Saccharomyces cerevisiae S288C: one gene and its partners. Changing the gene in region 3 together with the main gene of any one other region gives a genetic interaction. Each region holds a gene or a part of one and is shown on either strand. Other genes may lie near its edges.

Region 1 (2,989 bases), on a different chromosome or scaffold from region 3:
ATATGCGCAATTCTCAATATAAACCAAAGTTAGACCCTACTTCTTATGAAGCTTACCAGCATCAAACCCAGCAGAAATACCTGCAAGAACAACAAAAGAGACAGCAGCAACAAAAACTTCAGGAGCAACAACTTCAAGAGCAACAATTGCAACAGCAGCAACAGCAACAGCAACAGCTACGTGCAACAGGCCAACCTCCATCTCAGCCTCAAGCGCAAACTCAATCTCAGCAGTTTGGCGCTCGTTATCAACCACAACAACAACCTTCTGCTGCTTTAAGAACTCCTGAACAGCACCCAAATGACGATAATTCAAGTCTAGCTGCTTCTCATAAGGGCTTTTTCCAAAAATTAGGTTGTTGCTAAATATAGAAATGACATTTTTTGCAAGACTACCGTCTTTCTTACATTTTTTGTAATGTGAATATATCTGTATACTTTACAACCGAAACGACATTTACCATACTTATAATTTTCGAGTTCTTCGCTGTGGACAAGAGATTAAGTGAGATCAATAACTTCGATAAGAGTATCTCCCGGGAGTACCTCGTCATCATCATCAAGGATTACAACTTCTAAGGAGCTGCTAATATTATCACTTATTATTTGATCTTTGTTATTCTTCGTCTCTCCGCACCAGCGATCATCTCTATATCTCCTTTCGGCTGCAAAAGCCGCCAACTCTCTCGGGGAATTACCTCTATCTATAGATGATATACCCTCTGGATGCAAACTCCCTAACTTCACACCTTTGCCCCTTTTTCTCACTATCCCTGTGTTAGTACTTATTCCTGTCATAGGATATCTATTTGAACGTAAGTTTGCTCTTCCACCGAGACGTTGACCGTTCCCCAAAAATGTGTCGTACAAACCTCTTTGTTCAATAACCCATTGCCTTCCAATCAACTCATCTAGCTTATTGTAGAACTTTTTGTCGTGTGGACCGAATAAATTGTGAGTTAATTCGTGCAGCATGGTGCCCATTATACACTCCATGGGTAAAAATTGGAACTCATCCGTGGAGCATCTTAACCGTAACATTATCTTAGATCCATGGTTGACGTTCATTCCCAGGAGTCTTTGATCACGTGGGTAAAACTCCACCAAGTTGGTCACTTTGAAGTGATTTTCCTTCATTAGATAGGAAACTTTATGTGCGATTTCCTTTATTAAATTTAGCGCATCTTCCTTATTGGGCTTACTTTGCAAAACAGCCACTTTTTGAATGTGCGGGTTCTTGTGAGGGATTCTCTGGGAGCCCGCCATATCATGGTATTTTGCCGATGGGCTTTTTATTCCTTCTGTCTTCATTAATCAATCTCTCTTATTTAGAATATCTTCAAAATATGCGTTGTTACAAAATACAGCGCAAAAGAAAAAGTGTCAAAATTTCTTCACCAAACTCACCTTTTGGTATTCAGAGCAAGTGAGAAAAAAAAAATTTAAACAGAGGAGGTTACTAATGGGCAAGAAGAAGAGTAAGAACCAATTAAACACTGGAGGTGTTCCTAATGGTGTCCATAATACCAAGAAAGAGGCAGCTTTGCCACCTTTGGGAAATAAGCTGGGAAGCGCAAGTTTTACAGCTATAAATACGCTGACTAAGCCCGCTTTGTTTTCATTTTATGATGACGATATTACCAAGAATGAAGGTAATGTTTATGACAAGGCTTTATTGTCTAACGCCTCTCAATTGGAAATGGTTCCGCCATCCGCGACTGCGAGACACGAAAGGTCATTGTATGCGAAAATAATCAATACTATTGCTGCATTTTTTATTCTATTCATAGCAGGAATACTCTTCCCCATGATATCAGAATGTTTGTTTGATAATGACCAATTGGCAAAGGGAGATATCGTATCCTTTTTAAAGCATGGTATAGAAATTAAGAACAAGATCGTCGCGGAACCTGACATGGTGCCTGATTGGGCTGTATTTGGTACTGAAGGTGTTATCTTTGGTTCCATAGTACCATTCATTGACTCTTTCGTTCGTTATCAACACCAGCCAAAAACCAGGTCATCAGTTTACAAAAACACCCTAGGATCATTTATAAGATGTGCCAATACTCTTTTGGGCTTAATATTTGGTATTAGGAAACTTGAATGGTCCTCCTCTTTGCAGGCAGCTGGTGCATGGAGCTTATTAAACATTGTTCTGTGGTTGTTCTTTGATGGCACTTTAACCGTTTTTTTCCCAGGTCTAGTAATTGGTGCCCTTAGTGCGTTCACTTGCTCACAATGTTTCTCGCAGTTGTCACTGGCGTTGTATTTTATAGATTTCTATTTTTTTGGGTTTTTGATGTTCAGCAAGTTGGGCAGATATTTATTCAATTAAGTGTTCCCATAGGGGCGTTCAATGATTAGTATCGATGTGTAAATCTTAGCTGATTTTTAGGCCTCAACAACCTTCATTTACTAAGCATGTGAGTAAATCAAAAGGATGACGTCAACAAAAAACACATCAGTAACACAAGGTATACCATACATACATATATATATATATATATATATATTATTTGGTAATTGAATATTGAAAATGCAAGGGCTTAGCCGAAGCTAGTGATGATAAAAAAAAAGTAATACCACATAATATCATTCCTTCATTAGTCATTTATTTGGAGATCTTGGTGGAGGTCCACTTGAGATACTTCCTTGTCTCGAGATAGAATCGCCACCACTACTACTACTCATACGTCTTCTAATAATAGACTCTCTTAAACCGCTAGGATTGGTCACTGGTAGATTATTACTAGAATTATTCACGATAACGTCATCCGACTTAATGACTCCGGCCTTTTTCAATGCATAATCTCCGCTGTCAAAATATTGACGATCCTGCATCTTATGTCTTAACAGATCTTTTTTGGATGGAAGCTTCCCATACATTTTATACAATTTTAGTTCTTGTGGTGACAGCTTCGATAAATCCACTCCCTCTTTGGTAAACCCATGAGGATTGCTCAAATCCACCCTGCTGCTTGTAGGTG
Region 2 (3,321 bases), on a different chromosome or scaffold from region 3:
ACAAGAACAAGATCAAACCCTCACTAATCAACAAGTTGGACTTAATTTGTGCAAGCATGGATGTTTCTCATTAATATTGTCATATTTCTTTCCCTTAATCTAGCATTTCCTTTCTCTCCCTCTTCTCATGCATATCTTCCTAGATATATTTCTCCAGGGTGAAAGCGGGACGGACGTGCTTGTTTTACCTCACCTGGTACTACTAGTATTTTCATTACTCTTTTTTCATCCTCCCACTTCCCCCTTATATATTTGTTTTCCCATGTGTGGTATATGGCATCATTATTATATAAATATTCTTTAGTTGTAAAAGGCTGTTTTAATTAACACTATTTATCGCTAGACAAAACTAGACTTTCATTATTTCCTTCATTTCAACGCTTGTTTAAACATGTGCTAGGTAAGCGAGTTTTTTACTTTTACTTCCAATAAATATATATATATATATACGTATACATGTATGGGCGGGCTACAACAAAATGAAATAAAAAGCGTCAGGATCATTGTTTTTTACCATACTTGACTTCTCTGAAAAAATCCATGACGTTCGTGAAAACTACCAACAATAACCCACCACCGGGGGCAAGTCTCATGACCTTTGGCGCAAATCCCTTATACAATGCTTTAAACCCTTCCTCACGGTAAACTAACAGCACTGAAGGCAGGGACCAGTTGTACTTCCTCAGCGGCCCGGAACTTCTTTGGATCCTAGATTTTACCACGTCAAATGGTGTATTCAACAAGCACCCGACAGTGCCACCAATAGCACCTGCGATCAAATCATTTCTGGTCTTTTCCGTGCTTGTTTTAGCCGCCGGCAAAAGCTTCCGAATTTGGAATATTATACCGAAATAACCGGCATTCCAAAGAACGTGTCTCCAGATAGTGGCTTCCAACCCATTGAAAAGTGACAAAACACCACCTTTCACAACACTATTCTTTACAACTTCAATGGGTGTCTTGAACTGTGAATTCACATCCTGTAATCTAATCTTCACTAGTTCAAAAGGCGCGACGACAAAGGCTTCCACGGCGCCAGCGGACGCACCACTGTATATGGCGATTTTTTGAGTCATCTCCCCATTGGGCGTGGGGAAAATCTTTTTATAAAACGTTTGGAATGTATCGTTTCCGGAGAACTTAATTGCTCTTTTCGGAGCCTCCATTAATATAGGCGATGTGATACCCTTGTAAAGATGCGAAAATCCTTCCTTCTTCACAATTTTTGTAAGACAATCCATCACGCCCGTGTAGTGATCTACTGCTGCTTTCGCTGCAACAACAGCGGGATGACCTTTGGTTGTCACTTGTAATTGCATTCTTGTCTTCACCACGTCCAATGGATACATCACCAATAGCTCCGAGACGCCGGCAATGGCACCGGCTGTGAACTGGTATATGAACGGCAAAGGTCTATTATCTATAGATGTCATCTTACAGTTCTTTTTCTTTCACCCTCGTTACAGTTCTATCTTGAGAATAAATGAGATAAAGGTTCCCAAAAGTCACTGATATATATCAACGGCGGTCACCCTCACAGAAATACCCGAGAATCTGCCCTTCGCCAAATCAGATTCAGCCAGTTCGCAGTTTTTTTCCCTATCTCTGGTCGCCGCATTATGAAAAGATCCTGGGGTAATAATGGGAATGATTTGAAAAAAAACAAATGCTGGTAGAAAAAGGTCTTCGTATTGCTCGTAGTAATACGGCTATTTCAAGTAACTGCTCGGGCCAGCGGCTTGAGGAAAAAGTAAACCCGTTACTTTGCTTTTTAATGACGCTGGAAATACCAATTACCTACTATGTATTACTTATGCTTATGACAAAGGGATGAAATTCCCGACGATGCAAATTGGGATGTTGTACCTATCCCTTCTGATAGTGAAACTAAAACAGCATGGCCGTTTGCGGATTCCATCTTTGGTTCGAAGACTACAACTTGTTAAAACAGCCTTCTGACCCTTATCAAACGCTATGGACCCGTATTTTTCCCAGAAATTCACAGCGCTTTCTTCTGTCATCAACTCGTAGATCGCAAGCTTTCCATCGCGTAAATCATCGACTGTGCAGTCAACCAGTGAAGCAAACTCTTTATTGGCTCTGTAAATCTCACCGGTACGCCTACACAAGCACGCTGGCATGCTCATAGAGGTGAAAACACGATCATAAGATAATAACATCCTCTCGAAGCTCTCCTCCACTAAAACTAAGTCAACATCCTTCAATGAACGCGCAATGGTTCTAAACGCCGGTCTAATGGTGGATAGTGGTTTCAGAATCCTTTGCTTGGAAGACTGATTCATATATTTGTCCATGTAGTCTTGTAGTCTTGCATACCCCTTGGCATAATTATACGGCTTCAATAATCCTGCTTCAAGCTTCGCATTTATGACCAACTTCAGCCGGTGTTCTGGTGTCATCTCTGTTGACGGATCCGCCGCTGTTAAAAAGAATTGTTCCTTCGGTGTCGGTGCACTGTTTTCGTTTGCATTCGCTAGAATTCGAGACTCTTCCTTTTCTTGATCTTGTTTATCCCCTTTCGAGATACTATTGGAAGAACCTGACATAATAGTAGGCGACCTATTTTCTTGTCTTGCCACTCCTATTTCATCCCTACGATTGTCGTTTTGGTACTCTAATGGCGATTGTGTGGTTTGTGAGCCATTTTCCAAATGAACATTGCTCGCACTGCTGGAACTTAGTGATGTTTGAGTCAATAGAGGATTTTCTAGCATAGAAAGAAATTCATTCAAAGAACTGAATTCCGAACCAACATTCTCGGACACAAATACAGGTTGTTGCGGAAGCAGCAAGCTGGTTGTATCATTTACAAGAGAGGAGTCTAGTTTCGGTGACAGTTCCTCTCCATATGTGGATCCACTTTTATTGACTGGTTCATTCTGATAGTCAGACGGAATTCCAGTGTGTGCTTTATTTGCATATTTGCCCTGTATATTATTATCATTCGGAGAACTTTCGTGCTGTGATGGCATCTCATTTGGAACCGCAATATCATCTTCCCTGCATAAATGGGCAATATCCCTCTTGACGCACCTAGAACATGGACGTTGCTTATCACATACAACATGTGACCGTTTACAAAATAAACATGTTTTAAAAGCCTTACTGGCTCGTTTTACACCACTGTTTGCTGACATTATTTCGTCAGTTTATATAAATATGTGTATTTTGTGTTGATTAAAATTAAAAAAAACTTTATCTCACTGGCAAAGAACTCCCGCAAATTTTCTCATAAGAATTACTTTCTTCTTCCATCCCAGAGACCTCATCCTTTTTTCTAATATTCAACTATTTTTCATT
Region 3 (7,032 bases):
CGTGCTCCACCACTTCGTCACAAAATTGACCTAACTTAGAGGAGTCCTTACATTCCGCATAAACCCTCACCGCATCCTCCGTACCACTGGCTCTGACAAAGCTTCTTCCCATGGGATACTTGGCTACCACAAGATCTATCTTGTCTTGCAACCCCACTGGATTGAGCAATTTTCTTTCCTGGTCCGTGGTTTGGAAAATTGACCTATCAGGAACGATGCACTTAACCAGCTTGTTGGGCAAATCAGTATACTCTTCATCCCAATCCATTGGCGACATTTTCAAAATCGCCAAAGTAGCAAGGACAGCAAGCATGTCTGAAATAGCATCTCCCACGGTCTGATTAATCAATTCAGAGAAACACTTCAAAGTTCTCAAAGCTAACGTATCACCATTTAACTTGGACTTGGATAATTCAGATTTGATAGTTCGATGAAATTTTTCGCTGAATATAATCGTACCATGTCCATTTGCTTCGAAATAAATGCCAATATCGTACTGAGTGGCAGCTTCATGATGCAAGTGTTTAACACCTGTCTTAGTGCAAGACACGGGACAGTGCAACGTATTTTTTATGTAAGCGGTGGAACTGCCGTTTGCATAGGCAGTTTGCACAACACCAATCTTCAAAGAATGTTCTAGGTGTGCCAATTCTAGTTGTTTAGACAAGAACTTTGCAAACAAAGTGGAAATTTTGTCACCATCCAACAAATGAAATTTTGATCCTGAGTCGACATAGTAGAACACAACCCTGTCTGCGTCACCATCAAAGGAGCAATATAGCGAATCAAACGAGGATGGAGAAAGACCCTTGGGTAATCTCTGGTTAGTCTTCACATAATCCGCACCGCATTCAAAATTCAACAGTTCTGGAACATCGGACCTGTCGTTGATTACCTCAACTTGCTCCGCTGGCACGTCCCAATCTTCGGAGGCCAGTAGTTTTTTCAACTGTGGACCACCGATACCATTGGCTGTGTCTATGAACAATTTTGGGACAGACAGCCTCTTCTCCAGCTGATACGTGGCGAAGAGCTCGTTGAAGGCTCCTATAAAGAACGAATAGTAGTCCTGTTCTGTGGCAACTGGCGCTGTGTCTCCTTCCAGTTTCCGCCTGTTGGACAAATCAGTAATGTAATGCAATTGAGGCGTAGTGACACAGCCTAGGTCCAAAACTTGCGCGTGGAAGACGCTGGCCATGGAGGAAGTCAAGCAGCGCAGCAAGTATGGACTACTTTCCCTAGAGTCTCTCCCAACCACGATGTGAGGCACGACGGTTGTATTCAAATCAATCTTTTCGTGTTCAATCAGCTTGGCCAACTCAACACGAAATTCTTCAAAATTAGTGGCAAAAGAGGCCGCATTGGCCAACTGCATGGCATATGGCTCCCATGTGGCCAAAAGCATCGATCCGTCTGGTTCCACGATCTTGACCCCGTTGTCCTGGTATGGGTTGTGCGACGCCGTGATCATCACCCCCACATACTGACCCTGAAGCTTCAGCGACCTGAGAACCGCCAGTATACCAGTACTGAACATCACCGTATCCAAATTCTTGGCCAGCGTTCTGAATCCGGCCGTACCGTAACTGAACTGCACATTCTTTGTGCGGCACGTGTCATCGTAGAGTTTGCACAATTGCTCGTAATCAACCTTCATCGTCTCTAAGCTTACTGCTGACCTTTGCCTTGGTCCTTGTACTTGTCTCGATTGCTGAAACCATTAACGGTTTTTTGTTCTTACTTAATCTTTTTTTTCCCGACGACGCAAAATGTCAGAAAAGATATAAATAGAGCAACGTTTCCTGCTACATGAAACACGCTGGCATATAGAAGAACTTCAACGAGCGAGGCTCTCTGAACAATCTGCTAATCGTGCAAGTAAGGGTTCTCGTGACAGTTCACCGTGTATAAACAGATAAACAGATAAACAGTCAGATATGCTTAATTTTTAACTGTAGGCTGTGCCGACATGCCATTTTATGCGGCTCACTTCTAACAAAAGTGACCATGACGCACAAGCAAGCAAACAGCCAAGTAAGGAAGCAGACAGCTTCACAGCACACACACACCGTTGTGTACGAAAATCCTCTGCAGAAGAGTGTATATGCCACTCATCCACACTTCCGCAGCGCAGTACGTAATGCGGTATCGTGAAAGCGAAAAAAAAACTAACAGTAGATAAGACAGATAGACAGATAGAGATGGACGAGAAACAGGGGGGGAGAAAAGGGGAAAAGAGAAGGAAAGAAAGACTCATCTATCGCAGATAAGACAATCAACCCTCATGGCGCCTCCAACCACCATCCGCACTAGGGACCAAGCGCTCGCACCGTTAGCAACGCTTGACTCACAAACCAACTGCCGGCTGAAAGAGCTTGTGCAATGGGAGTGCCAATTCAAAGGAGCCGAATACGTCTGCTCGCCTTTTAAGAGGCTTTTTGAACACTGCATTGCACCCGACAAATCAGCCACTAACTACGAGGTCACGGACACATATACCAATAGTTAAAAATTACATATACTCTATATAGCACAGTAGTGTGATAAATAAAAAATTTTGCCAAGACTTTTTTAAACTGCACCCGACAGATCAGGTCTGTGCCTACTATGCACTTATGCCCGGGGTCCCGGGAGGAGAAAAAACGAGGGCTGGGAAATGTCCGTGGACTTTAAACGCTCCGGGTTAGCAGAGTAGCAGGGCTTTCGGCTTTGGAAATTTAGGTGACTTGTTGAAAAAGCAAAATTTGGGCTCAGTAATGCCACTGCAGTGGCTTATCACGCCAGGACTGCGGGAGTGGCGGGGGCAAACACACCCGCGATAAAGAGCGCGATGAATATAAAAGGGGGCCAATGTTACGTCCCGTTATATTGGAGTTCTTCCCATACAAACTTAAGAGTCCAATTAGCTTCATCGCCAATAAAAAAACAAACTAAACCTAATTCTAACAAGCAAAGATGAAGTTAGAAAATACTCTATTTACACTCGGTGCCCTAGGGAGCATCTCTGCTGCTTTGGTCATCCCAAATCTTGAAAATGCCGCCGACCACCACGAACTGATTAACAAGGAAGATCACCACGAGAGACCCAGAAAAGTGGAATTCACTAAGGACGATGATGAGGAGCCATCTGACTCTGAAGATAAAGAACATGGAAAGTTCCATAAGAAGGGCCGCAAGGGCCAAGACAAGGAGTCTCCGGAATTCAACGGTAAACGTGCAAGTGGCTCTCATGGGAGCGCCCACGAGGGAGGAAAGGGCATGAAGCCTAAGCATGAAAGTTCCAATGATGATGATAATGATGATAAGAAGAAGAAGCCTCACCATAAGGGTGGCTGCCACGAAAATAAGGTGGAGGAGAAGAAGATGAAAGGTAAGAAAGTCAAGGGCAAGAAGCACCACGAAAAGACGTTGGAGAAAGGGAGGCACCACAACAGGCTGGCTCCTCTCGTGTCCACTGCACAATTCAACCCAGACGCGATCTCCAAGATCATCCCCAACCGCTACATTATAGTCTTCAAGAGAGGTGCCCCTCAAGAAGAGATCGATTTCCACAAGGAAAACGTCCAGCAGGCACAACTTCAATCCGTAGAGAACTTATCTGCCGAAGACGCTTTCTTCATTTCTACTAAAGACACCTCCTTGTCCACCTCTGAGGCTGGCGGTATCCAGGACTCATTCAACATCGATAATCTTTTCTCCGGTTACATCGGTTACTTCACCCAAGAGATTGTCGACTTGATACGTCAAAACCCATTAGTAGACTTTGTTGAGAGAGACTCTATTGTCGAGGCTACAGAATTTGACACTCAAAATAGCGCCCCATGGGGGTTGGCCCGTATTTCCCACAGAGAGCGCCTCAACCTGGGGTCCTTCAACAAGTATCTCTACGATGATGATGCCGGTCGCGGTGTCACGTCCTATGTTATTGACACGGGTGTCAACATCAACCACAAGGACTTCGAAAAGAGAGCCATTTGGGGGAAAACCATCCCACTTAACGACGAAGATCTCGACGGTAACGGCCACGGTACCCACTGTGCCGGTACTATCGCTTCCAAACACTACGGTGTCGCTAAAAATGCCAACGTTGTTGCGGTGAAAGTCTTGAGATCAAACGGGTCTGGTACCATGTCTGATGTCGTCAAAGGTGTCGAATATGCCGCAAAGGCGCACCAAAAAGAAGCCCAAGAAAAGAAAAAGGGGTTCAAAGGTTCCACAGCCAATATGTCGCTTGGTGGTGGCAAGTCCCCAGCTTTGGACTTGGCTGTTAATGCAGCCGTTGAAGTCGGTATTCACTTTGCCGTGGCTGCTGGTAACGAAAACCAAGACGCTTGTAATACCTCCCCAGCTTCTGCTGACAAGGCCATCACCGTCGGAGCTTCCACGTTGAGCGATGACAGAGCCTACTTTTCCAACTGGGGTAAGTGTGTCGACGTTTTCGCCCCAGGTTTAAACATTTTGTCCACCTACATTGGAAGTGATGACGCCACCGCCACTTTATCGGGTACCTCAATGGCTTCCCCTCACGTTGCTGGTTTGTTGACCTACTTTTTGTCTTTGCAACCAGGTTCTGATAGTGAATTTTTCGAATTGGGCCAGGATTCTTTGACTCCTCAGCAATTGAAAAAGAAGCTAATTCATTACAGTACAAAGGACATTTTGTTCGATATCCCTGAAGACACTCCAAATGTTTTAATCTACAACGGTGGTGGTCAAGATTTGTCCGCTTTCTGGAATGATACCAAAAAGTCCCATTCATCTGGTTTCAAGCAAGAATTGAACATGGATGAATTCATTGGATCAAAGACCGATTTAATCTTTGATCAAGTGAGAGATATTCTTGATAAATTGAATATTATTTAATTCTTCATTTAGAAAAATTTCAGCTGCTTTTTTTTTTCTTTTTCTTTCCTTAGGCGTCTCGAGGTTACAAGTCGGAGTCCCTCTTCACTATCGTTTGTCCACTTTTTTTATATCCCCATTATTTTCAATCTGAATTTCATTTTTTTTTTTTAATTCATGAAATTTATATGTCCCACGTATTACTACATATTTGCGTTTTTAATTAAATAAATAACTGTTACTTTTATTATATCTTATTTGCAGATCACTTATCTGATCAAATGTTTTCGTTTTCGTGTGTGGTGACGATGTATTAGGTACGCGAAATAAACAAAACAAACAAACAAGGCCGCAACAATAACATCATCTAAAGACTTCCTTTGTGACCCGCTTCTCAACAGCGGGTGTAGAACTTATGGTATGGCCAGAAAGTAACGTTGAGTATAGATACAGAAGCAAGCAATTCAAAGGAAAAAGTAATAAAAAGTATATAAAAGCGCAAAAAATACAACAAGAAAGAATTTGTTTGATGCCAGCGGAAAACCAAAATACGGGTCAAGATAGAAGCTCCAACAGCATCAGTAAAAATGGCAACTCTCAGGTTGGATGTCACACTGTTCCTAATGAGGAACTGAACATCACTGTAGCTGTGCGATGCAGAGGAAGGAATGAAAGGGAAATTAGTATGAAAAGCTCCGTTGTGGTAAATGTTCCAGATATTACAGGTTCTAAAGAAATTTCCATTAACACGACGGGAGATACCGGTATAACTGCTCAAATGAATGCCAAGAGATACACAGTGGACAAAGTCTTCGGTCCCGGCGCTTCCCAGGATCTAATTTTTGATGAAGTGGCGGGCCCATTATTCCAGGATTTCATTAAAGGTTACAATTGCACCGTACTGGTATATGGTATGACGTCAACAGGTAAAACATATACAATGACGGGCGACGAAAAGTTATATAATGGTGAATTGAGCGATGCAGCAGGAATTATACCGAGGGTTCTTTTGAAGTTGTTTGACACATTGGAACTACAACAGAACGATTACGTAGTAAAATGTTCGTTCATTGAACTCTACAACGAAGAATTGAAGGACCTCTTGGACAGCAATAGCAACGGCTCTAGTAATACTGGCTTTGACGGCCAATTTATGAAAAAATTGAGGATTTTTGATTCAAGCACAGCAAATAATACCACTAGCAACAGTGCTAGTAGTTCCAGGAGTAATTCTAGGAACAGTTCTCCGAGGTCATTAAATGATCTAACACCTAAAGCTGCTCTATTAAGAAAAAGGTTAAGGACAAAATCACTGCCGAATACCATCAAGCAACAGTATCAACAACAACAGGCAGTGAATTCCAGGAACAACTCTTCCTCTAACTCTGGCTCTACCACTAATAATGCTTCTAGTAACACCAACACAAATAACGGTCAAAGAAGTTCGATGGCTCCAAATGACCAAACTAATGGTATATACATCCAGAATTTGCAAGAATTTCACATAACAAATGCTATGGAGGGGCTAAACCTATTACAAAAAGGCTTAAAGCATAGGCAAGTAGCGTCCACTAAAATGAACGATTTTTCCAGTAGATCTCATACCATTTTTACAATCACTTTGTATAAGAAGCATCAGGATGAACTATTTAGAATTTCCAAAATGAATCTTGTGGATTTAGCTGGTTCAGAAAACATCAACAGATCCGGAGCATTAAATCAACGTGCCAAAGAAGCTGGTTCAATCAACCAAAGTCTATTGACGCTGGGCAGGGTCATAAACGCACTCGTAGATAAAAGCGGCCATATACCTTTCCGTGAATCGAAATTGACCCGCCTGCTTCAAGATTCCCTGGGTGGTAATACGAAAACCGCACTAATTGCTACTATATCGCCTGCAAAGGTAACTTCTGAAGAAACCTGCAGTACATTAGAGTATGCTTCGAAGGCTAAAAACATTAAGAACAAGCCGCAACTGGGTTCATTTATAATGAAGGATATTTTGGTTAAAAATATAACTATGGAATTAGCAAAGATTAAATCCGATTTACTCTCTACAAAGTCCAAAGAAGGAATATATATGAGCCAAGATCACTACAAAAATTTGAACAGTGATTTAGAAAGTTATAAAAATGAAGTTCAAGAATGTAAAAGAGAAATTGAAAGTTTGACATCGAAAAATGCATTGCT

Evidence for each region. A genetic interaction does not mean that the proteins touch.
Region 1: mutations in PRB1 (region 3) and WSS1 together harm fitness more than expected from each alone (negative genetic interaction), as found in Saccharomyces cerevisiae (2 studies listed by BioGRID).
Region 2: mutations in PRB1 (region 3) and ODC1 together harm fitness more than expected from each alone (negative genetic interaction), as found in Saccharomyces cerevisiae (2 studies listed by BioGRID).

What each region holds. Positions count from the first base shown.
Region 1 is NC_001140.6:370,070-373,058, reverse strand, and holds WSS1 (metalloendopeptidase WSS1), read right to left. Parts: upstream 1,311-2,989; coding exon 501-1,310; downstream 1-500. Other genes in the region: serine/threonine protein kinase YCK1, read left to right, coding at 1-365; NSG1 (Nsg1p), read left to right, coding at 1,462-2,337; IGO2 (phosphatase regulator), read right to left, coding at 2,610-2,989. UniProt on the Saccharomyces cerevisiae protein: Metalloendopeptidase that acts selectively on DNA-binding proteins. DNA is needed to bring the protease and substrates together to enable proteolysis.
Region 2 is NC_001148.4:298,071-301,391, forward strand, and holds ODC1 (mitochondrial 2-oxodicarboxylate carrier), read right to left. Parts: upstream 1,434-3,321; coding exon 501-1,433; downstream 1-500. Other genes in the region: gluconeogenesis transcription factor RDS2, read right to left, coding at 1,818-3,158. UniProt on the Saccharomyces cerevisiae protein: Transports C5-C7 oxodicarboxylates across the inner membranes of mitochondria. Can transport 2-oxoadipate, 2-oxoglutarate, adipate, glutarate, 2-oxopimelate, oxaloacetate, citrate and malate.
Region 3 is NC_001137.3:37,877-44,908, reverse strand, and holds PRB1 (proteinase B), read left to right. Parts: upstream 1-2,955; coding exon 2,956-4,863; downstream 4,864-7,032. Other genes in the region: phosphoacetylglucosamine mutase PCM1, read right to left, coding at 1-1,657; HHY1 (Hhy1p), read right to left, coding at 1,949-2,257; SOM1 (Som1p), read left to right, coding at 2,285-2,509; kinesin motor protein CIN8, read left to right, coding at 5,372-7,032. UniProt on the Saccharomyces cerevisiae protein: Vacuolar proteinase B involved in protein degradation in the vacuole. Among other substrates, acts on carboxypeptidase Y (cpY/PRC1) to activate it by processing its Pro-peptide.